3 linked regions of the Astyanax mexicanus genome follow. The protein of the gene in region 1 interacts with the protein of each later gene in a pairwise test. Links are inferred from orthologs where the notes say so. Each region holds a gene or a part of one and is shown in the gene's direction. Other genes may lie near its edges.

The links.
Region 2: the proteins of prkab2 (region 1) and stx19 interact in binary tests that used the Homo sapiens proteins (3 or more experiments, as listed by UniProt). The link is inferred for Astyanax mexicanus from reciprocal best matches to the Homo sapiens genes PRKAB2 and STX19.
Region 3: the proteins of prkab2 (region 1) and UBX domain-containing protein 11-like interact in binary tests that used the Homo sapiens proteins (3 or more experiments, as listed by UniProt). The link is inferred for Astyanax mexicanus from reciprocal best matches to the Homo sapiens genes PRKAB2 and UBXN11.

What each region holds. Positions count from the first base shown.
Region 1 is NC_064411.1:27,924,557-27,932,113, reverse strand, and holds the start of prkab2 (5'-AMP-activated protein kinase subunit beta-2), read left to right. Parts: upstream 1-4,541; 5' UTR 4,542-4,649; intron 4,650-7,557. Other genes in the region: ift57 (intraflagellar transport protein 57 homolog), read left to right, coding at 514-580, 3,032-3,213. UniProt on the Homo sapiens protein: Non-catalytic subunit of AMP-activated protein kinase (AMPK), an energy sensor protein kinase that plays a key role in regulating cellular energy metabolism.
Region 2 is NC_064418.1:27,583,393-27,590,512, reverse strand, and holds the start of stx19 (syntaxin-19), read left to right. Parts: upstream 1-4,101; 5' UTR 4,102-4,402; intron 4,403-7,120. UniProt on the Homo sapiens protein: Plays a role in endosomal trafficking of the epidermal growth factor receptor (EGFR).
Region 3 is NC_064408.1:128,134,055-128,141,734, forward strand, and holds the start of UBX domain-containing protein 11-like, read left to right. Parts: upstream 1-4,661; 5' UTR 4,662-4,812; intron 4,813-4,896; 5' UTR 4,897-4,934; intron 4,935-6,840; 5' UTR 6,841-6,935; coding exon 6,936-6,960; intron 6,961-7,680. UniProt on the Homo sapiens protein: May be involved in the reorganization of actin cytoskeleton mediated by RND1, RND2 and RND3. Promotes RHOA activation mediated by GNA12 and GNA13.

The sequences.
Region 1 (7,557 bases):
TGCCCTGGCTTACCAGAACACTCGGTGTTCCTCAGTGTAGCGCTGTCAGCCGGATTTACGAGCGCTAACTGAGGCAAGCCCTAGTGGTTAGCCACTAATGCTAATGCTGATGCACACATCCTTAGTGGAAATCTGGCTTACTATATATAAACGGAAGCGCTTATTGCCAAATAAACAGTTTTCAGGAGAGAAACCTGTGTAGATTAACATCCAATGCTCATTTTATTTTAATATATATATTTTTTAAGAATTACAGTTTTGTTTACTTAGCTTAGCTTTACTTAACTTAGTTACCCCCACTACCACCCTGCGGGGAGATCTGCTGAATTAGAAGGATACTAGTAATGATCTCGTAATTCACCTTTTAATCCGGTGCACCTTATAGTGCAAAAAATATGGTATATGCACTTCTTGGTGGCAAAACAGCTGCAATAAACTCATACTCTGTGAAAGTATAATAACTGTTATATAATAACTGAATAAAATGAATCATTCAAAGTATTATGTGTTCAGATCAGTGAAGAGCTGGAGAAAGTCAAACAGGAGATGGAGGAGAAGGGTAGCAGCATGTCAGATGGAGGTAAAACTACACACACATATAAAAGGATATTTTAAACTTTTTTTAGAAATAAAAAACTAAAAAAAAGTGAGGCGTGCAATATTTTTCGCCCCCTTTAATTTCAGTGCAGAAAACTCACTCCAGATGTTCAGTGAGGATCTCTGAATAATCCAATGTTGACCTAAATGACTGATTATTGTAAATAGAATTCACCTGTGTGTAATCAAGTCTCTGTATAAATGCATCTGCTCTGTGATAGTCTCAGAGTTCAGAGAGCATCATAAAGACCAAGGAACACACCAGGCAGGTCCGAGATACTGTTGTGGAGAAGTTTAAAGCTGAATTTGGATACAAAAAGATTTCCCAAGCTTTAAACTTCTCAAGGAACACTGTGCAAGTGATCATACTGAAATGGAAGGAGTATCAGACCACTGCAAATCTACCAAGACCCAGCATTCCCTCTAAACCAGGGGTATTTAATTAGAATTCAGTATGGTCCAGTTAGAGAAAATTTCGACAGGCCAAGGTCCGGACCGATTGTTAACTTGTGTTATGATTAAGTTAAATATCCTCTAAGGTTGTTTGAACTGAATGATGAAAAAATATATAATAATAATAATAATAATAATAATAATAATAATAATAATAATAAAATGCCTCTCTGGCCAGATTTTGTATACATTCCTCCCCTGTCTGTCTCTCTGTCGCGCTTGGCGTGACTTTAGTTTACGCCCGTTCTCGTTTTTCCGCCCATTCTCGGGCTCTCTATCTCCACATAAAGGCGGTTTTACGGCCGCGTCCCAATTCAACAGCCGGAGCAGCGGGACCGCAACCCTGACAACAAGGGTTTGATCCCGCGCGAGGAGCGGTGTGTTTATTTATTTATTTTTTCCTTACCGCGTCTGCACAGATCTGATTGACTGAAGAGAGCGTTTGGTGATCTTACCCCACACGTGATTGGTCTGTGATTTACTGTGCCGCAAAGCGTGTATACAATTAAATCCTTCTCAGTAGGTTTCTCCGCAATGGACAACGTTTGGGTCCAGAACACGGTCCACCCAATAGTGACCTCTGCTCTAAACTTTCAGCTCAGACAAGGAGAAGACTGATCAGATATGCAGCCAAGAGGCCATGTTCAGATATCCATAAAAAATCTAGTTTAAAGTTTGCCACCAGCCACCTGGGAGACACACCAAACATGTGGAAGAAAGTGTTCTGGGCAGATGAAATCAAAATTGAACTTTTTGGCCACAAGGCAAAAAACGTTATGTTTGATGTAAAAGTAACACAGCTCATCAACCTGAACACACCATCCCCACTGTCAAACATGGTGGTGGCAGCATCATGGTTTGGGCCTGCTTTTCTTCAGCAGGGTCAGGGAAGATGGTTAAAATTGATGGGAAGATGGATGTAGCCGAATACAGGACCATTCTGGAAGAAAACCTGTTGGAGTCTGCAGAAGACCTGAGACTGGGAAGGAGATTTATCTTCCAACAAGACAATGATCCAAAACATAAAGCAAAATCTACAATGGAACAGTAACCCGTTGTTAAAATGGCCAAGTCAAAGTCCAGACCTGAATCTAATCGAGAATCTGTGAAAAGAGCTGAAAACTGCTGTTCACAAACCAACGCTCTCCATTCAACCTCACTGAGCTCCAGCTGTTTTAAGAAGAAAAATGGGCAAAAATTTCAGTCTCTCGATGTGCGAAACTGATACATACCCCAGAGACATACCCCAAACCACTTGCAGCTGTAATCACAGCAAAAGGTGGCGCTACAAAGTATTTTAATGCAAGGGGGCGGAATAATATTGCACGCCCCACTTTTCAGTTTTTTTATTTCTAAAAAAAGTTTAAAATGTCCAATAAATTTTGTTCCACTTCACGATTGTGTCCCACTTGTTGTTGATTCTTCACAAAAAATTTCATTTTCAATGAAATTTCAATTTTACAATTTCATATCTTCATATTTGAAGCCTGAAATGTGGCAAAGGGTTGAAAAGTTCTAGGGGGCCGAATACTTATGCAAGGCACTGTATATACATACAAAAAACATACTTACAAATAGTATTTTTTTTAAAAGCCCTTTAAAAATTTAAAACATTGTTTTATTGTTTTATTTACTGTTTATGGTGATACACAGTGGCACGAACATCCTGCAGCAGTGGGTGCAGACGCTCAATGAATCACAACATTGTTCAATTCTTCAGTGCTACACAGCGCACCATGCAGTATTGTTTTCATTAACAATTGTAATTAAAAAATAAAACTATACCATAGAAATTTATATGACTTGTGAAATAAACATAAAATGTAAAAAGATCGTCTCTGGCGTTGTGGGTGATAAATAAGGAGAAGCTGATAATAAACATCTTCTGTGTAAAGGAATAGTCTACTACGGGGCTCTCACTTCTGTGCTTCATTGCTGGGATGTTTGATTGAGGTGGCACTGATGTTTTGTTTGTTTTCAGCCCCGGTGGTGAAGATCCGTCAGAGCCTGACGAAGCTGAAGCAGGAGATCCAGCAGATGGATGTGAGAATGGGAGTGGTGGAACACACGCTGCTGCAGGCCAAGCTAAAAGAAAAGAACAACATGACGAGAGACATGCATGCTACACACATTACAGAGACCAGCACACACACCTACTCATAATGTCTCTTACACACACACAACCTGTATAAAATATATCTATTTATATATGACCTATATATATTGCTGTAAATGTCCTTGTCTTTATAACTTTTATAATAAACATCTAATTTCATGTATATAAAACGTGTACGTTTTATTCATGAAAAGTGAGTGAGTCACTGAAAACTATGTTTCTGTATAATGTTAAAGAATGTAGAGTAAAACATATATATAATATATATATATATAATTTATAATAATAATAATAAAAATAATGTATTTTTAACAGGTTGTTGAACACTTATCTTTACCTACAAAACTGAATTCATTCAATGACTATTTTAGAGTCAGAGACAGCTCCCTTGTCAGCAGCTTAGCTGTGCCCTGTATTTACACAATTATGTGCACTGTAATGTTCACTGTACAATTGGTGGCCACTGTTCCATCTTTGTCCAACACAAATAAGGTAAATCTGGTTATCTTGTCTACATTACTTTCCTGTAAATTTGATTGTTTCATCCTGGTTATCTTATCTGCAGATTGTACACAGTGTAATCACAATTGAGTGTCTGACCTGACAGACTGACAAACAACAACTTTTTCTGAATGAGAAGTGAAAACAGGGTCACAATGGGGCAACTGGTGGTATTTTTATGTAGTTGGTTTCGTGTCTCAGGTGGTTTCTGCGGCATTGAGTGGAGTGGTGGCAACTTTATTTATGTAACACCATTCATACTTAAAAAAGCATCACAATGCTTCAAAATAAACTTAAATAAAAAATGTAAACAAAACCCCAAAGCTCCCAAAAATATCCCCCCCCCCCCAAAATAAAATTCATGCCATAGACAGTGTGCAGTCAATTGTATGTATTTCAGCATTAACCCTTTAAGACCTGAATTATGTTCCAGTGCTAAAAACATATGAGAGAGATGTTTTCAACAGATGACTCTAATGTTTTGATATTTAATATATAGAAAAAAATTATCTAATGAACTAAAATACATAACTGCTTTTTTAATGTTCATGGCATTGGAATCACATGTTCAACCTTTTCTTTCTTTAACCTTTTTGTTTTAAAACCATCAACGGTAAAATAAAAATAATTAATAATAAGTATACTTTTAATCTTGGTCTCATCCGACAAAACACACGGTCCCAGTTATAATCCCAGTACCGCTTAGCCAACTCCATGTAAAAAATACATTTATTTTAAGGCTTTTTACACATTTTAACTAGGGATGCCAATAATTTGAGGGCTGTATATTCTTATTGACAACAAATCTCATAAAAGTCCAGTGTAGTGCACGCAGGGTCTCAAATGGTTAAGTGTAAAACGCGTTACTCGCCGCCTTCTGGGTTTTTTGGATGTTGCGCTTGCCGTACAATGTCAAGTATGTTGTCAAAGTTGGATTAGGAGGTAGAGCGACGGAAATAAGGGCTTTTTAACCGTGAAACAGGTGAGTTTTCCCTGCATTTTGAGTGTGTTTAAAGTGTACTGGTTTAAACTCGCATATTTTGTGATATTTAACTGGGAGAGCAGGCTAATATTCACCCTGTAGCTCTCAGGCTAGTGCAACTGTAGCCGTTAGCCCGCTAAGCTAACTGGTAAAGGCAGTTAGCTGTGGGAGTAGCGGGGCTAGCCCAGCCCGTGTCGCAGTGTCCGACCTGTTACTGGAGCCGGAGGGAGAAACGGTTTACTGTAACGTTAAACACACTAACACAGTGACACAGTGAGCTGTTTTACTTTAGTTCACAATTTTTTTCCAGTCGCTTAATTGCTTTAATCCAATCTGCACTTACCTTTTCAAAATTTTATATACATTTAACCCAACATCTGTTGTGGACTATACTATTCACACAATTCATGTTGCTAGCACGCAATATGCATTCAGTTTTAAACATGCTTACATTTTATTAACAAACAGAATTCCCCACATGAGAGAAAGAGAAAGAAGAGAGGAAGAAAAATATCTGGACAGGGAAATTTATAGTTAGTTTACATTTACATTGTAAATGAATGTATTTTAGTACAATATAAATATATTAAAGAAGCTTAGTTGTTCTGGAGTTTGTCTGGAGTTGTCTTGAGTCTGAATGATATATGATTATACTTCTCACCCAACCACAATCAGATTCACTCTATCTGGATGGAGAGATTTATCTGGAAAGGGTTTTTTGAACTTTGAGAAAACCCAGGCTTGAGTAAAAGTGCTCGATCAAAAAAGTGACTTAAGTAGAAGTTAAAGTGTTTTTTGATCACCACACTTAAGTGAAAGTACTAAAGTATTCAACATTTCTGAGCATTTTTAATACAGAGATTACAAATTAGGCAGATAAAAAAAAATAAAGTGCTAAAATAGTGTTTAAAAAACAAAACAGTTAATCTATTGAATTCAGAGTGCTTTAAAAAAAATCATTACAGACAATAATAAATAAAATAAATTAAATATGAAAGCAAAGTTTTCTCCTGCTAGATTTCATGAATTATTAACATCCGTTTAGGGTCTTTAGAAAATATGACAGAAATTGTTCTATTTTAGAATGCAAAAAAAAAAAAAAACTAGTGTCATTTGTGTGTGAGGGAATAATTTTAGCCAATGTAAACTAAAGTTGTTCAGTTTGTGAAAAACAACAGTGATTGTCATTATAAAAGATTATATGTATTGATGCACAGAATCAAGCCAGACAGAAAAACGAACCGGTGTGCCGCCCAGCGGTCTGCCCAGCGCCAGGTGAAGCAGAACAAGCCTGTTATATTGTGATGTATTGGCTGTTGACGGTCATGTGTGTTTGCTATGCATAACATCACAAAGCTATTTTTAAGGCTTTATTCCTGTGATCTGTGCTGTGGAAGTACATCACTTTGTGTACTAGCACATTATCGTGATGCTAGCGTTAGCATTATCTATCTTTAAAGATGGTAAATCAGCCCAACGCACAACATAAACATTAAAAAAAAAAAAGCAAGAGGATATGAGGTAAAATTAGGCTGACTGCAGAACATCCTTGACCACAGAATACCTTCAGCTTGGCTCTTAACACAAATAGAACCTCACTGTTATGTCACTTGTCAGTGCCTGATCGTGCTACTGTAAACAAGCCAAGGTGATGTGATGTGATTGATTTAAATAAAATTGTAGGTAGTATCGAATACACACTTTCATTTAAAACACTACTATTTAGTAAGTGGGGTTTCAACACACAGCTTAGTAACTACTGTCTGACAGCAATCTTCACATGTAAACTAATATTTAACCCAAGAGTTAACATACCCTGTCATAGACCCAGTATTTTAACCCCAATATATTTACAGTCATATTCCCACAATTAAGAACAAGTAAACATGAATGAGCTGTATATATGATTATGAAACCTCACTCAACAACCAACTTTTACAGGTGCTAAATTTGTCATACAGTCATATGAAAAAGTTTGGGACCCCATATTAATCATAATCATTTTTAGTTGTAAATATTTGGGTGTTTGTAACAGCCATTTCAGTTTGATATATCTAATAACTGATGGACACAGTAATAGTTCAGAATTGAAATAAGGTTTATTGCACTGAACAGAAAATGTGCAATATGCATTAAACCAAAATTTGACCGTGCAAAAGTATGGGCACCCTTATCATTTTATTGATTTGAATACTCAGACATCCGAAGCTGCAAAAGTTGATTTCAGGGAGGTTAATCACCTGACAGTAGCAGTAGAACATTCATGTGTAGGATGTTGCATCACTGCTATTCAAAAGTTAGTCGACAGAGCAAAATTAAGGAACCCTAAGTGTTGCGGTAAGGGCAATATTAGCTAGCGGTTCTCCAGCAGTGCTAGCTTGGGTTAGCATCAGGCTGCAGGTGGTTAATGCTCACCTCTAAACGGCAAAGTGGCTAGTGCTTAGCACGGGTAGCGGCTAATGCTTATGCTGCTCCAGCAGGGCTAGCCAGGGTTAGCAGCAGGCTACAGGCCGATAATACTCACCTCTGTTAACGGCTAATACTGGTGGAGAACTAAAATTAAACTCCTGTATAACTCTGTTTTTCAGCGAAGTGGCTTTACTGCTCCTTAATACCTGACTGGTAGAATTCATACATAAAGCGCACCAGATTAAAAGGTGCACTAGTAATTTTTAGGAAAATTGAAGGATTTTATGAGCACCTTGCGTAAAATGTAAAATATTTAAGAGCCATTCATTTCTCTGACTGGACTGCACAACTGACTGACTGGACAACTTTGTATTAATTTAAGAAATACTTGCTTTGTTGTGGAGTTCCAAAGGTCATGTAATTCATCTTAAGGTTCAAAAATAAAATTCAGTGTTTAAAAAAATGTTAATTGTTTTGCTTTTTAATATTTTAAATACAG
Region 2 (7,120 bases), on another chromosome or scaffold:
ACTCACGGATGTAAAAACAGCAAATGGGTTTAAAGTTAGAAGGATCTGTAAAAATCAATGTCGGGCCAGGTCAAACAACAAAAGCAAAATCAAACACATGGACAAAACCAGTAAATATGAATAAAGAAGAAGAGAAAAACACAAAAGCCAAAAACAAATTACAAATAGCCAGACAGAGTTTACAAACACATAAACATAATCAAAGGGGTCAAAAGTGTTTACAATAATTACTCCGGTAGGAGTATAGATAAAAAAGGTTTAAAACTCAAAGTAACTTTTTTGGTTTCAAGTAACGTGTTTAGTTTCAAAGCTAAATGTAGCTAAAAGTACACTACCCCCCCCCCCCCCTTTTTTTTCTAAAAGCCACAGTGACAATACTGTTAAAATTAATAAAATGTAAATGTTGATAAAATTTTGGATGCACTATGCGTACCTGTTTCAGCCGCATATATTCCCATTGAAAATAAATGTATTTAAGAACATATGTTATGTAAATATATTAAAGAAGCTTAGTTGGACATTTTGCTCGCGTTCTCTTGAATCTCTGCACAGATCATCTTCATACTAGGCTTCATACGTCTGCTATGTTCTTGCTGGTGTGTGGGCCGTGACGTGTACAGGTGTGATGGATCACAGTATAAACCAATAGGGGGTCGGAATAGTATATGTTTATACTTCTCATCCAACCATTATCAGATTCATTTTATCTGGATTTTTTTTTTGGATGATGAGAAGCTGGAATGAAAACAAGCTGAAATGAAATACAAGTAACAAGGCTATTTTTAAAATGTAAGGAGTATAAAGTACAAATAATTGTGTGAAAATGTAAGGAGTAGAAGTAAGTTGTCTAAATAATCAATTACTCCAGTAAATAATACACTTGCAAGAAAAAATATGTGAACCCTTTGGGATTACTTGGGTTTCTTCTTCTTGTCATAGACAAACACAAACAATTATATGTTTGCATGTTTTTATTAAACACAACATAAGTATGTGAACCCCTAGGCTAATGACTTTTCTAAGAGCTAATTGGAGCTAGGATGTGATGAGATTGGATGTGTTAAAGCTGCCCTATAAAAACACACCAGTTTTGAGTTTGCTGTTCTTAAGAAGCATTGATTGATGTGAATCATGTCTCGCACAAAAAAGGTTGTGCACTGTTGCTACTCTCCCTAGGTGTGGTCGTCCTGTAAAGATGACTGCAAGAGCACAGCGCAGAATAATCAATGAGGTGAGGAAGAATCCTGGAGTGTCAGCTAAAGACATAGAAATCTGGCACATGCTATCATTTTTTTTTTTGACAAAACAAATCTACAATAAGTACAACATTAGACAAGATTGGACTTTATGGGAGGACACCACGGAAGAAGCCACTGCTGTCCAAAAAAAAAAACATTGCTGCACGTTTAAAGTTTGCAAAAGAGCATCTGGATGTTCCACAGCAGTACTGGTAAAATATACTGTGGATGGATGAAACCAAAACTGAGTTGTTTGAAAGGAACACACAATGCAATGTGTGAAGAAAAAAAGGCACAGCACACCATCATCAAAACCTTATCTCAACATTGAAATATGGTGGAGGGGGCATCATGGTTTGGGGCTGTTTTGCTGCATCAGGACCTGGACATATTGCTATCATCAACAAAAAAATAAATTCCCAAGTTAACCAAAACATTTAGCAGGAAAACTGTCCATCAACTGACCATCTGTCCACCAACTGAGGCTCAACAGAAGATGGATGATGCAACAGGACAACGACCCAAAACAGAAAATCAACAACCAAATGGCTTCAACAGAAGAAAATATGCCTTCTGGAGACAAAATGAGTGGTATTCTGGGTAATGCAGTCCAGAGAGTCAATATAAGAAATAGGTCCAGGAAAATATGCTCATATACATATATCCTCAAATAAAATCCAAATCTTAAGATGTGTTCTTAAATGCTTCTTAAAGTGTGCACTGAGTTCTGCTACTTGGCAGTAAAATAACTGATCCACTACTCCACGTTCTGTGGAATGTACACACAGTCCTTATTACAGACCATTTTAAGCTCTGTGATCATTTAATGCTGCACTGTCTTTTCAAGAGGGTCGGAGTGTGTTTACACTTTGTCCTTGTTTACATTTTTCCCTGCATGCTTTCATTATCCGTTTAACATCTATCACTCCAGTGCCTCTGTGACTAGTGTAGGAATGAAAGCAGGCTGAAGAAAACAGGAAAAATTGTTTGAAGGGAGGTTATTTGGAGGAAGCTGACAGGCCTTTGAATTTTAGATCTGCATGCCCGTCCAAAAGTGAAGAAATCCAGATCATATAGCAGCTCATTGTTTTATGATTGTGAGCTAATTAACCAAACTATTTTTTTTCCTTCTTTTTGTTAGAGTTACTGGTTTTATTATCGAGACCTGCATGAAGAAAAACAGTCATTCTGTTTTGTTATTCTGTGCTATCTGTCTCACCCTCATTTATCTTTGTGTACTGCAGAAAACATTGAAACATTAAAATAATTTCTATTTCTCTTCCATATCCAGTAAAACAACATAAATGTTTTGCAACCGTTGACTACAGATATCCTTACAAATGGAGAGGCTTTAGAGGAAGCTAGCACTTAGCACTTAGCACTCTTTGATGAAAGAAATTAGGTCCCACTTTATAATAAGTGTCCCTAAGTAGTATGTAATTACACGGTAACAATCCATGTAACTACAGTGTAACTACTGATGAAGTACACAATGATACAGATTAACTACAGAGGTACAGGTTATGTAATTACACATGTGTATTTAGGTTAATTTTGACTTGTGTAAGTACACATGTGTACCAGGGTGAGTGTACTTACACAAGTGATAGAGTAAGTGTACTTACACATGTGTAACAACGTGTGTGTACTTACACATGTGTAATAGTGTGTGTGTGATAAGTCAAGTATAAACTTATCCAACATCTATTGTCTAGTATGTAATTAGGGCTGATTGAGTACACACACGTTGTTACACATGTGTAATTGAATTCTAATTAAATACCCCTGGTTTAGATCAAAGAATATTCATGTGTTAGAATGGCCCAGTCTTAAATCACATTAAGCTTCTGTGGCAACACATGAAAACTGCTGTTTACAGATGCTCTCCATCCAATTTGGCTGAGCTTGAGCTGTTTTATAAAGAAGAATGGGCAAAAATCTCAGTCTCTAGATGCGTATATCTGGTAGAGACACACCCAAAAAGACTTGCAGCTGTAATTGCAGCGAATAGTGGGTCTACTAAATAGAGGGGGGGCTGAATACTTTTCACGTCCCACTTTTCAGATTTTTATTTGATAAAAAAATTAAAAACCATGAATCATTTTCATTACACTTCACAATTATGCAATGTTTTGTAATGGTCTATTATTTAAAATCTCGACAAAATACATTTAAGTTTGTGGTTGTAAGGTCACAAAATGAGGAAAAGTTTAAGGAATATGAATACTTTGGCAAGCCACTCTATAACTGGTCAGTAATAAACAAATACATTTAATGGGCTTAAATATAAGTTAGTCATTTAGATCACTTTTTTTTATTAGTGAAGAAATTGATTTAAACACATTTATATGATAAACACAAACCTAACATTTTTCAACATTTCCCTGATAAATGTAACAGTTTTCTGTTTCCCGTTATAAGGAGTAACACTACCAACACTCCCAAACAGGTTTTCCCAGTTATGATTCACACAGCTCTTTGTCTCTTGTTTCCACTGCATTCTCAATTACATATTTTTATCATATCATATTTTTATCACCTCACATTTAAATCTAGTGGTTGAAAAAAGGGAAAAAATAGCTAAAAAGAAGGCAGAACATTTGTGTGTGTGTGTGTGTGTGAACTGTGTGGGGGTGGGGTAAATTCTACTGTACTGGGCTGAGGAATTCTAAACCCTGTCAGAAACAATCAGAACAGTTCGATGAGCTTATTGTTGCATGAGGTCGCAACAGGCCCAGAAAACAGGCAGCGATTGGGCTGCAGCATGTGCTCATTCTGAGCTTTTTTTTTTTTTCATGTCACTCCTACTCCAACTCCAGAAAGCCTAACAAACCTCTCTCTCTCTCCATTGGATAAACAGAGTTCTAGCGGTGGCAGGAGGTGTGGTTGAAAACTAGCTCCACAAGATTTCCCAGCAGTCTGGACTGTATAACTGACACTGGCTGAGTTAAGGCAGACATTTTTACCTCTGGGAGTTCCTCTAAATCCAGGCTGGAGCTGGGAATGCCTCGCTACGATCCTGATTGCTACAAATTGACTTTAAGTAAAGTTACTTTTACTATTTTTTGAAGATATCCAAGGTGGCATAGAAGTGTGGGCTGAAATCCAGGGCAGCTCATGATGATGCAGCATGATTCAGTTCTCCAGGACCTGAGGGATAAGAGGTAAAATCTTTGTTTATTTCACAGGATTGATAGAGTAAATATCACAAATAAATATGCCTACAAAATATTCACAAATATGCATTGTTTTTTTGTTTGTACTGTAGTTCAATGCTATTTTTTTTTTTAGGAAAAAAACAAAATAAGGGATGTACAGTATGGTTTCTATATATTGTATGTAGAAATATTAGACATTTATAGTATGACACTATTATAAGGTGTGAATGTACTGCTTATTGTGCAGATTCTATATTAGTCAGTACTTCTCTTTTTGGTTTAAATTAGTAATTAAAGGTGCATACAGATATTCCATGATTATATAAAAGAATCAGACCACAATAAAGGAATATAAACGGAACAAACTGAATTAAAAGAATGAGATTATTTTCTGTCCTGATCTTTAACTACACTCTAAAAAACAGAGGTACGATATGAGTACTTTTTTGCACTCAAGGGTACACTCTTCATAATTGTACCCTCAAAGGTACAATATTGGTCTTTACAGGGTCAGATTTGTTCTCTCTGAAGTACAAAGTAATTTCTAACAGAAATAAGTACAAACTTGTACCATTTAACCTGCAGACAAAAGGTACATTCAGTATTCTGTATCACTGTACTAATAAACAATATATATTTAAACTGCACATTTTTATTTGAAAGCCAGATTTTGGATCATCAAGTTTTTGAGCCATATTTAGTTGATGATAATGTTTATAATATTTACTGGCACAAAAACCATGGGTACAAAAAAGGACTTTCACTGAAAGGTACTTTTTTGTACTTCAATATAAGGTACAGCCCCAGTGACAAGCTTTGTACTCTTTTAAGTACAAATCTGTACTTACTTTTCTTAGTGTGTAAGCAGGATTTGATATTGGCACACACTAAGAAAAGTAAGTACAGATTTGTACTTAAAAGAGTACAAAGCTTTTCGCTGGGGCTGTACCTTAGGTACAAAAAAGTACCTTTCAGTGAAAGACCTTTTTGTACCCATATTTTTGTGCCAGTAAAGATTATAAAGATTGTAAACATTATCATCAACTGAATATGTGTCAAGAACTTGATGACCCAAAATTGTCTGGCTTTCAAATGAAAAATGTGCATTTAAAATATATATTGTTTATTAGTACAGTGATACAGAATACAGATTGTACCTTTTGGCTGGTTAAATGGTACAAATCTGTACTTATTGCTGTTAGAAAAGACTTTGTACTTCAAAGGGAACAAATCTGACCCTGTAAAGACCAATATTGTACCATTATGGGTACAATTATAAAGAATATACCTTTGAGTACAAAAAAGTACTCGTATCGTACCTCTGTTTTTTAGAGTGCAGCTTATATACTGAAACAATACTGTTGACTAGTTTAACCATCCATGCTCTGATATAAGAAATTACTGCCATTATAACTTTTATTAAATGTATCTAAACTAAATTCACATGAATCCTAAAAGTCTGTCCTTACACAGAGAAACCAGCCCACGGTTGAGATATAGTATGTCAACACTATGAGACTTTGTATAAACATGGGCAGAGGATCCTCCCGTGAGGCATAGAAGTGAAAAGAGAGCAAGTCATGAGGTACCAGACCATTTACAATTATTAACTACAGACTTTAAACATAGTTTTTTGTAAGGCTGGACAATATAGCAATATTTTATTGTGTTATTGCAATAAATCTTGTTATTCCATACACAAACTACTTTTCTCAGCATGCTGTGGATATCATCAGTCTAATATGTCAACAGGAATTGTATTATAATAGCAATTTGTAAGAATTTATTGAAAGTAAATTCTGTATCATACAAATGTTAAATCTTTATATATTGTGATTATTATATTTTTCCCATATGAATCATTCTTGTTTGTTGATGTTTGTTGTAAATCAGAACAGAACCATGTGAACTGAATGCGAACAGATTTAGTGAGGAGGTAGAATAACTTTTCTTGGCTATGTGACACTGCCTCAGGAGGCCTCTCACCCAGAACCAGAGTGAACAAAGCCCACTCTTATATTTATAAGCTCTACCTCTAAGGGGATTGGGTGGGCCACACACACACACATCCACTCACGCATACAAGGTATTTTTAGTCTTTCCTCCTTGAAATCCATCTAGCAATTTGATAGCTCCGATTTGCACTACTCTGTTAAATTTCACTTTCTCTGTATTCTGCACTACAACAAACAGCTCTGGAAAAAAAATAAGTTTCTTTGATTTTACCAAATTAAAAACCTCTAGAATATAATCAAGAGGAAGATGGATGATCACAAGCCATCAGACCAAGCTTAACAGCTTGAATTTTTGCACCAGAAGTGACATAAAGTTATTCAAAAGCAGTGTGTAAGACTGGTGGAGGAGAACATGCCAAGATGCATGAAAGGTGTAATTAAAAACCAGGGTTATTCCACCAAATATTGATTTTTGAACTCTTAAAACTTTATGAATATGAACTTGTTTCTTTGCATCTTTTGAGAGGTATTTTATGTTTTTTCAGCCATTTCTCATTTTCTGCAAATAAATGCTCTAAATGACAATATTTTTATTTGACATTTGGGAGAAATGTTGTCTGTAGTTTATAGAATAAAACAACAATGTTAATTTTACTCATTTTAACATAAACCTATAAATAGCAAAATCAGAGAAACTGATTCAGAAACTAAAGTGGCCTCTTATTTTTTTTCCAGAGCTGTATCCTACACAAGATTACACAGCCTTTCC
Region 3 (7,680 bases), on another chromosome or scaffold:
AAAACAGTGGATAAATCAGCCTGTAATTTTCTCAGAGGAAAAACACGTACATGATCGTTCTGGACAGGAATAAAATCACAGAGGACCCACATAAAAGAGAAAAATATCCCAGAACCCCCTGAGAAACTAATCCCGTCCGGAAATGGCTTATCTCGTATTGCGCTTCTGTCCTAACCACTTTGTGTAATGCAGTACTTATACGAATTAACGATTAATCTATAATGAAATTTGTAATTGATTTAAATTTAAATAATCAACATTTTGTCAATTGTATCGACTAATCGTTGCAGCCCTATTTCCGATCCAGTGGCAACTGAGTGGAAGAACAAGTAAAGGTGTTTCTAATAAAGCAACCACAGCGAGGTTATTGCACAACCTGAGTATAGATTTTTTGCCAATAGCAAGAAAAACTGGTTAGTGTTGCAGAGCGAACCACAGATTAGCCTAAAAGCATTTCTATTTACAACTATCTATTGTCACCTGTTGCTGACACAGGTGTTCAAATGCACAAACACAGCTTGTCTAAGTTCCTGTAGAAGAGAAGTACTGCAAACAGACAAACAAAACCCATGTCTAACGCGAGACGTGAGATACTAGGGGTATAAAGTCCCCAGTATTGTGGACAACTAGTATAGGATGAGTTGAGGAAGTGGGGGATGTATGAGGTGGGGTTGGTGATCATCATCCAACATCCTGACCTTACATTCCTGACATTCATTTCAATCAAATCCTCACAGCAATGTTCTAAAATATTTACTAGAAAGTCTTCTCTGAACAGTAGAGACTATAAACTCTTTAATACTCTTGTTTTCAAAAGAAAAAATATGCAGAAAAAACAATGAACTTTCACCCATATAGTGACTCTTCTTCCAACGTTAGACCTTAAAACCAGCTGGTGTTTCCACTAAAGTGGCCACTGACAATACAGTAGGTATGGTGTTTCTAATAAAGTGGCCTCTGACAATATAGTAGGTATGGTGTTTCTAATAAAGTGGCCACCAACAAGACAGTGTGTAGAGTGTTTCTAATAAAGTGGCCACTGACAGGATAGCAGGTAGACGAGTACGGCGGGGTGTTTCTAATAAAGTGGCCCCTGACAAGATAGTAGGTAGATGGGTTTGGTGAGGTGTTTCCAATAAAGTGGCCAGTGTGAGCTAATCGCGAAAACACAGAATATTAGCCTGTTAGCAGTGGGTTAGCCGGCAGGCTAACAACAACAGGTTGTGTTTTAGAGATTAATGTATCTCTAAAGCAAATAAAAAGCCAGGATATTAAAAACAGTCGCCTAATTATCACATTAATCGATTTAACTTGGTCAATATCGCGTTAAAACCTCGTAAGTGCCTCTCCGGATCCCCGGGTGAGTGCCAGTGTTAGCCTGTTAGCTCGTTAGCCGCGGCGCTAGTGGAAGTCTATGGGAAGTGTTAGCCTGTTAGCTCGTTAGCCGCGGCGCTAGTGGAAGTCTATGGGAAGTGTTAGCCTGTTAGCTCGTTAGCCGCGGCGCTAGTGGAAGTCTATGGGAAGTGTTAACGCGGGGGGACCGCGGGGTTATGTTCTGGATGTTTCTGAGCGCGGGGTGTGTGTGAGGGGTGTGAGGGAGTGTGGGGGGTGAGAGCGGCGGCTGGCAGCGGTACCGCGGCTGGGAGCCGGACCGGGCCGGGCTGAAGCGGGTCGGGGAGCGGGGTTATAAAAACTCACCAGCGGCGCTTTTTCCCTCAGCATCTTCCGCCGAACCGCCGCCGCTCCGGGGGAGGAGTCTGGAGGAAGGGGAGGAGCCTGTGTGTGTGTGTGTGTGTGTGTGTGAAAGTGAGTGTGTTAATGTGTGTGAGTGTGTGAGTGTGTGTGTGAAAGAGAGAGAGAGAGAGTGTGAGTGAGTGTGTGTGTGTGTGAAAGAGAGAGAGAGAGAGTGTGAGTGAGTGTGTGTGTGTGTGTGAAAGAGAGATAGAGTGTTTGTGTGTGTGTGAGTGTGTGAGTGTGTGTGAAAGAGAGATAGAGTGTTTGTGTGTGTGTGAGTGTGTGAGTGTGTGTGAAAGAGAGATAGAGTGTTTGTGTGTGTGTGTGTGTGTGAAAGAGAGAGTGTGTGTATGAGTGAGTGTGTGTGTGATAGAGAGAGAGAGTGTGAGTGAGTGAGTGAGTGAGTGTGTGTGTGAAAGAGAGAGAGAGTGTTTGTGTGTGTGTGTGTGAAAGAGAGAGAGAGAGAGAGTGTGTGTGTGTGTGTGTGTGTGTGAAAGAGAGAGAGTGTGAGTGAGTGAGTGAGTGAGTGTGTGTGTGAAAGAGAGAGAGAGTGTTTGTGTGTGTGTGTGTGAAAGAGAGAGAGAGAGAGAGTGTGTGTGTGTGTGTGTGTGTGTGAAAGAGAGAGAGTGTGAGTGAGTGAGTGAGTGAGTGTGTGTGTGAAAGAGAGAGAGAGTGTTTGTGTGTGTGTGTGTGAAAGAGAGAGAGAGAGAGAGTGTGTGTGTGTGTGTGTGTGTGTGAAAGAGAGAGAGTGTGAGTGAGTGAGTGAGTGAGTGTGTGTGTGTGAAAGAGAGAGAGAGAGAGTGTGTGTGTGTGTGTGAAAGAGAGAGAGAGAGTGTGAGTGAGTGAGTGAGTGAGTGAGTGAGTGTGTGTGTGAAAGAGAGAGAGAGAGAGTGTGAGTGAGTGAGTGAGTGAGTGTGTGTGTGAAAGAGAGAGAGAGAGTGTTTGTGTGTGTGTGTGAAAGAGAGAGAGAGAGAGTGTGTGTGTGTGTGTGAAAGAGAGAGAGAGAGAGTGTGTGTGTGTGTGTGAAAGAGAGAGAGAGAGTGTGAGTGAGTGAGTGAGTGAGTGAGTGTGTGTGTGAAAGAGAGAGAGAGAGAGTGTGAGTGAGTGAGTGAGTGAGTGTGTGTGAAAGAGAGAGAGTGTGAGTGAGTGAGTGAGTGAGTGAGTGAGTGTGTGTGTGAAAGAGAGAGAGAGAGAGTGTGAGTGAGTGAGTGAGTGAGTGAGTGTGTGTGTGAAAGAGAGAGAGAGTGTGAGTGAGTGAGTGAGTGAGTGAGTGTGTGTGTGAAAGAGAGAGAGAGAGAGTGTGAGTGAGTGAGTGAGTGAGTGTGTGTGAAAGAGAGAGTGTGTGAGTGAGTGAGTGAGTGAGTGAGTGAGTGTGTGTGTGAAAGAGAGAGAGAGAGAGTGTGAGTGAGTGAGTGAGTGAGTGAGTGTGTGTGTGAAAGAGAGAGAGAGTGTGAGTGAGTGAGTGAGTGAGTGAGTGTGTGTGTGAAAGAGAGAGAGAGAGAGTGTGAGTGAGTGAGTGAGTGAGTGTGTGTGAAAGAGAGAGTGTGTGAGTGAGTGAGTGAGTGAGTGAGTGTGTGTGTGAAAGAGAGAGAGTGTGAGTGAGTGAGTGAGTGAGTGAGTGAGTGTGTGTGTGAAAGAGAGAGAGAGAGAGTGTGAGTGAGTGAGTGAGTGAGTGAGTGTGTGTGTGAAAGAGAGAGAGAGTGTGAGTGAGTGAGTGAGTGAGTGAGTGTGTGTGTGAAAGAGAGAGAGAGAGAGTGTGAGTGAGTGAGTGAGTGAGTGTGTGTGTGAAAGAGAGAGAGAGAGAGTGTGAGTGAGTGAGTGAGTGAGTGAGTGAGTGTGTGTGTGAAAGAGAGAGAGAGAGTGTGTGTGTGTGTGTGAAAGAGAGAGAGAGAGAGTGTGAGTGAGTGAGTGAGTGAGTGAGTGTGTGTGTGAAAGAGAGAGAGAGAGAGAGTGTTTGTGTGTGTGTGTGTATGAGTATGTGTATGTGTATGTGTGTATGTGTATGTGTGTGTGTGTGTGTGTGTGTGTGTATGTGTATGTGTGTGTAAAAATGAGAGTGTGTGTGTGTGTGAGTGAAAGTGCGTGTTAATCACTTTTATTCATTTAATTTATTTTTTTTATCTAATTGTTAATTAACTGATTCATATCTCTATTTCTGTTTGTTTTAAGATTATTTTTACCATTTTTTAAGCGTCAATATATTGGGTATTATTTATAGTTGTATTATTTGTATTATTATTGTATTATTCTTTTCTATTATTATTATTATTAGTAGTAGTAGTAGTAATTTCTATATAAAAAGAGACCTGTCCTGTTTTTAATTTGCCATTTTAAGTATGAATAAATATAAAACAGACACCTACATAAACACTTTATTTTTTCTTAAAGTATTTTTTTATGTATTTAGTTGAGTAGATGTTGCTTCTCATAATCTGGATTAGAACATTACTCAAATATTCACTATTCACTGTATACCTGTAACTCTACCTCTTCACTACTTTACTTTAACTGATGCTCTCAAACACTTTGAGATGAGTTCAGCACAGCTGTTAACTGAAAGCCTGAATTCCAGGTAAAATCCAGCAGAGATGTGCAAAACTGATTATCTAAGAATGTAATATATTATTATATTCTGGGTTGTTTAACATTTTTTTGGTTTAGTAAATAATTCCAGATGTTTTTTTTTTATTATAGTTTGTAAAATAATGATAAAACACTGCATTTAAGGTGGGTCCAAACGTTTGACCTTTAAACCCTGGTGTAAATTTTGAATGATGCGCTGGCGCCCCCTACAGGAACAGTTCCACACTGCAGGCGAGCCCGGTTACCACTGACTACCCCATATACAAACAAACAGAGAGGAGAGCTCAGAAACTTCAGCAGCTCATATATATTACAGATATATTACATGTATTTCACTATATCTGCTTTATTACAGCTTTTATTACAGATAACTCGCTATATTAAACACAGTCAGTTAATTTAATGTATATAAATATCAACAGAAATTAGTTCAGCTCTGTCCACACTGAAGAAACACAGGAGAGCTCCTCTAATACCTGCAGAGGATCAGCACAGGTGAGCTTTACCTCATTTATACAGGTGTATCTTATCACAACAAACATTTTATTGAAAATAAAATGATTTATTCTCTTTCTGTAGCAGTGAGAGGCTCATCTACAAGGAGGAAACCCACACAGGTAGGCACTAAACCCTAAATCATATTTCTATTTTTATTTATATTTGAAATACTTTCCTTTGAAGTAATAAAACATACCAGTCCTGTTTAAAAAATAACCGAAACATTTCCTAACCTTTAAAAAAAAAAACTCTTTTATTCTGGTCATTTCCGCCTCTGCTGCGCCCCCTTTGGGTTCAGCTGTGCTATAGGCGAAGATGATGTGTCCGTGTATTTTAATACACGAATACTTACAATATGCAAATCAGTCAACCAATAATACTGCCCCCACTGACATCCAATCATCTACGTCTTACAGCTATTAGAGGCACACTACTGCTGCTGCAGCTCAGCCAATGAGCTCTCCCTCCTGCTAAACCCATACATCACTCAGTGCCCCTCCCAAACTCCTCCTCCTTCCATTTTGTTTAGCTTTTTTTATTTGAGCTGAGGGTGGATTCAGCTAAAATCAGACCAAAATCATTACATTTCTCACCCATGACTTTTTTTTTATCCCATTTTCTCACCAATTTACAAGGCCAAGGATCACTAGTGATCCCCCAACACCAGGAAGGTGAAGACTAGAAGTCAGACTCTCTCTTATGGGGTCAAAATCGGGTCAAAAGTTTTGAGAACCAAAAGTATAATCCATAACTAAAAATAATGAAATAAAAAAGGACAATAATTGATATTATAAATTTTAAAATCATGTTTGTAAACAGAATATTTAATACTCTTTATTAAATAGAGAGTTTAATATTGCATTTTGTGTTTTACCCTTTTCTGACTAGTCCCCACCCACCTGTAAAAACAGGATCAAAACTAAACCAAAAACAAAACCAAGAAAAAAAAATACTAAAAGCAAAGAGATATACTAAAAATACTGCTTCTCAAAACTTTTGACCCTACTTTGACACCATACTCTCTTTTTGAACTGCTGCTGATGCAGCATTACTGAGAAGCATCACAGCGCTAACGCTCGGAGAAAAGCGCAGCGACTCGGTTCTGATACATCAGCTCACAGATGCAGCCTTGTGCTGATCCACATCACCCAACATCAAGTATCAAAAGTGTCCAGGAGTGCAAATGTACAGGATGTTCAGTAAAGTGTCAAAAGCTGGTTTCTGGCAACCTCAGGGGTGGAGTTAGTGTTGGGAACGAGCAGCAGGCGGAGTCAGAGGCCACACCCACACAGATTTCTGTGACGTACTGCACAGTTCTAGTTATAAATGACTGGCTTTAGCCCTGCTGACAACAAAAGACAGTATTTGAACTTTGCATGTTTCCTTAAAACCTTAAGATCCTTAATATCCACCATGATAGCTACCATTAACTACTGAAAATAGAAACCTTATATGTAACCTTAATATGTAAAAATTAGCTGCACCGGTCCTCATACCTAAAGCAGCCCATATTATAACTTCACTGAGAGATGGGGATACATATATGGATATACAACTCTGGAAATTTAGAGCATTTATTTACAGAAAATGAGAAATGTCTGAAATAACAAAAAAAGATGCAGAGCTTTCAGACCTCAAATAATGCAAAGAAAACAAGTTCATATTCATAAAGTTGTAAGAGTTCAGAAATCAATATTTGTTGGAATAACCCTGGTTTTTAATCACAGTTTTTTTTTTTTCATGCATCTTGGCATCATGTTCTCCTCCACCAGTCTTACACACTGCTTTTGGATAACTTTATGCTGCTTTACTCCTGGTGTAAAAATTCAAGCAGTTCAGTTTGGTGGTTTGATGGCTTGTGATCATCCATCTTCCTCTTGATTATATTCCAGAGGATTTTAATTTGGTAAAATCAAAGAAACTGTAATGTTGTAGATATTTGGACCATTTTCCTGTAGAAATGTGAACACGTCAATAATTTGAGATGATATTTAAGTGGATGATGTTTGTGTTTGGATGGATTAGATGAAGCTCTGCTGCTTGGAGAGCTTTTTCCTCAGGATCAGCCAAAGCCAGAAACCACGGGGAACCTTACATCACTGAGGTCAAAGGTAAAGGTCATGCAGCGAAGGAGCCCTAAAGAAGGTGAGCTGAAACGTTAGCATTGCTGCTGATTTAAAGGTCCTGGATTCTCTGGAATGTGCTTGCGCAACTTCTCACACAGGAACCAGGATTTATAAGAAATACTTGCCAAGAGATCAAGAGTATATTTACGCATGGTTTGAGGCATGAGTACTCCTACAAAATATTGCGGAAAGAGAGGGGGAATTAGCAGAACCATGTGGTTAAAGAGACTATTGTATTATTTTTACACTAGCTTATTTATTTCGTATTATCTTGCACTTAAAACCTTTTTTTGAAAAGGTCCTATATATAAAAAAAAGATTATTATTAGTTCACTGTAAAAAAAAGCAAAACTTAAAAAATTCTCCTTAATGTGATTCAGCTGAACCAAAAATATTGAATTGCACTGTAAACTATAGAAAACGAATTACCTAAACCAACTTTATTAAATTTCTTGTTAAAAGTAGATCTGAATAAATAATCTGTTTTGATAGAATTTACAAATTGCAGTTGAACCCTAGTTGAGGTCAAGCCAACTACTTTGCATTACTGCACTACTGCACATGCTCAGTTCGACTCTTTAGGTGAACGGGGTCTACAGAGCAATTCTGCAGGGGTTTTCACCTGGATGTTGGTCACACTATTTGCACATTGGGCGTGTCCTACCATCTCTCACACATCATCAGTGTGTAGTCATTCCCCACGGACTGCCTTGTCCTGGAATTTGCATATATGTGTTTC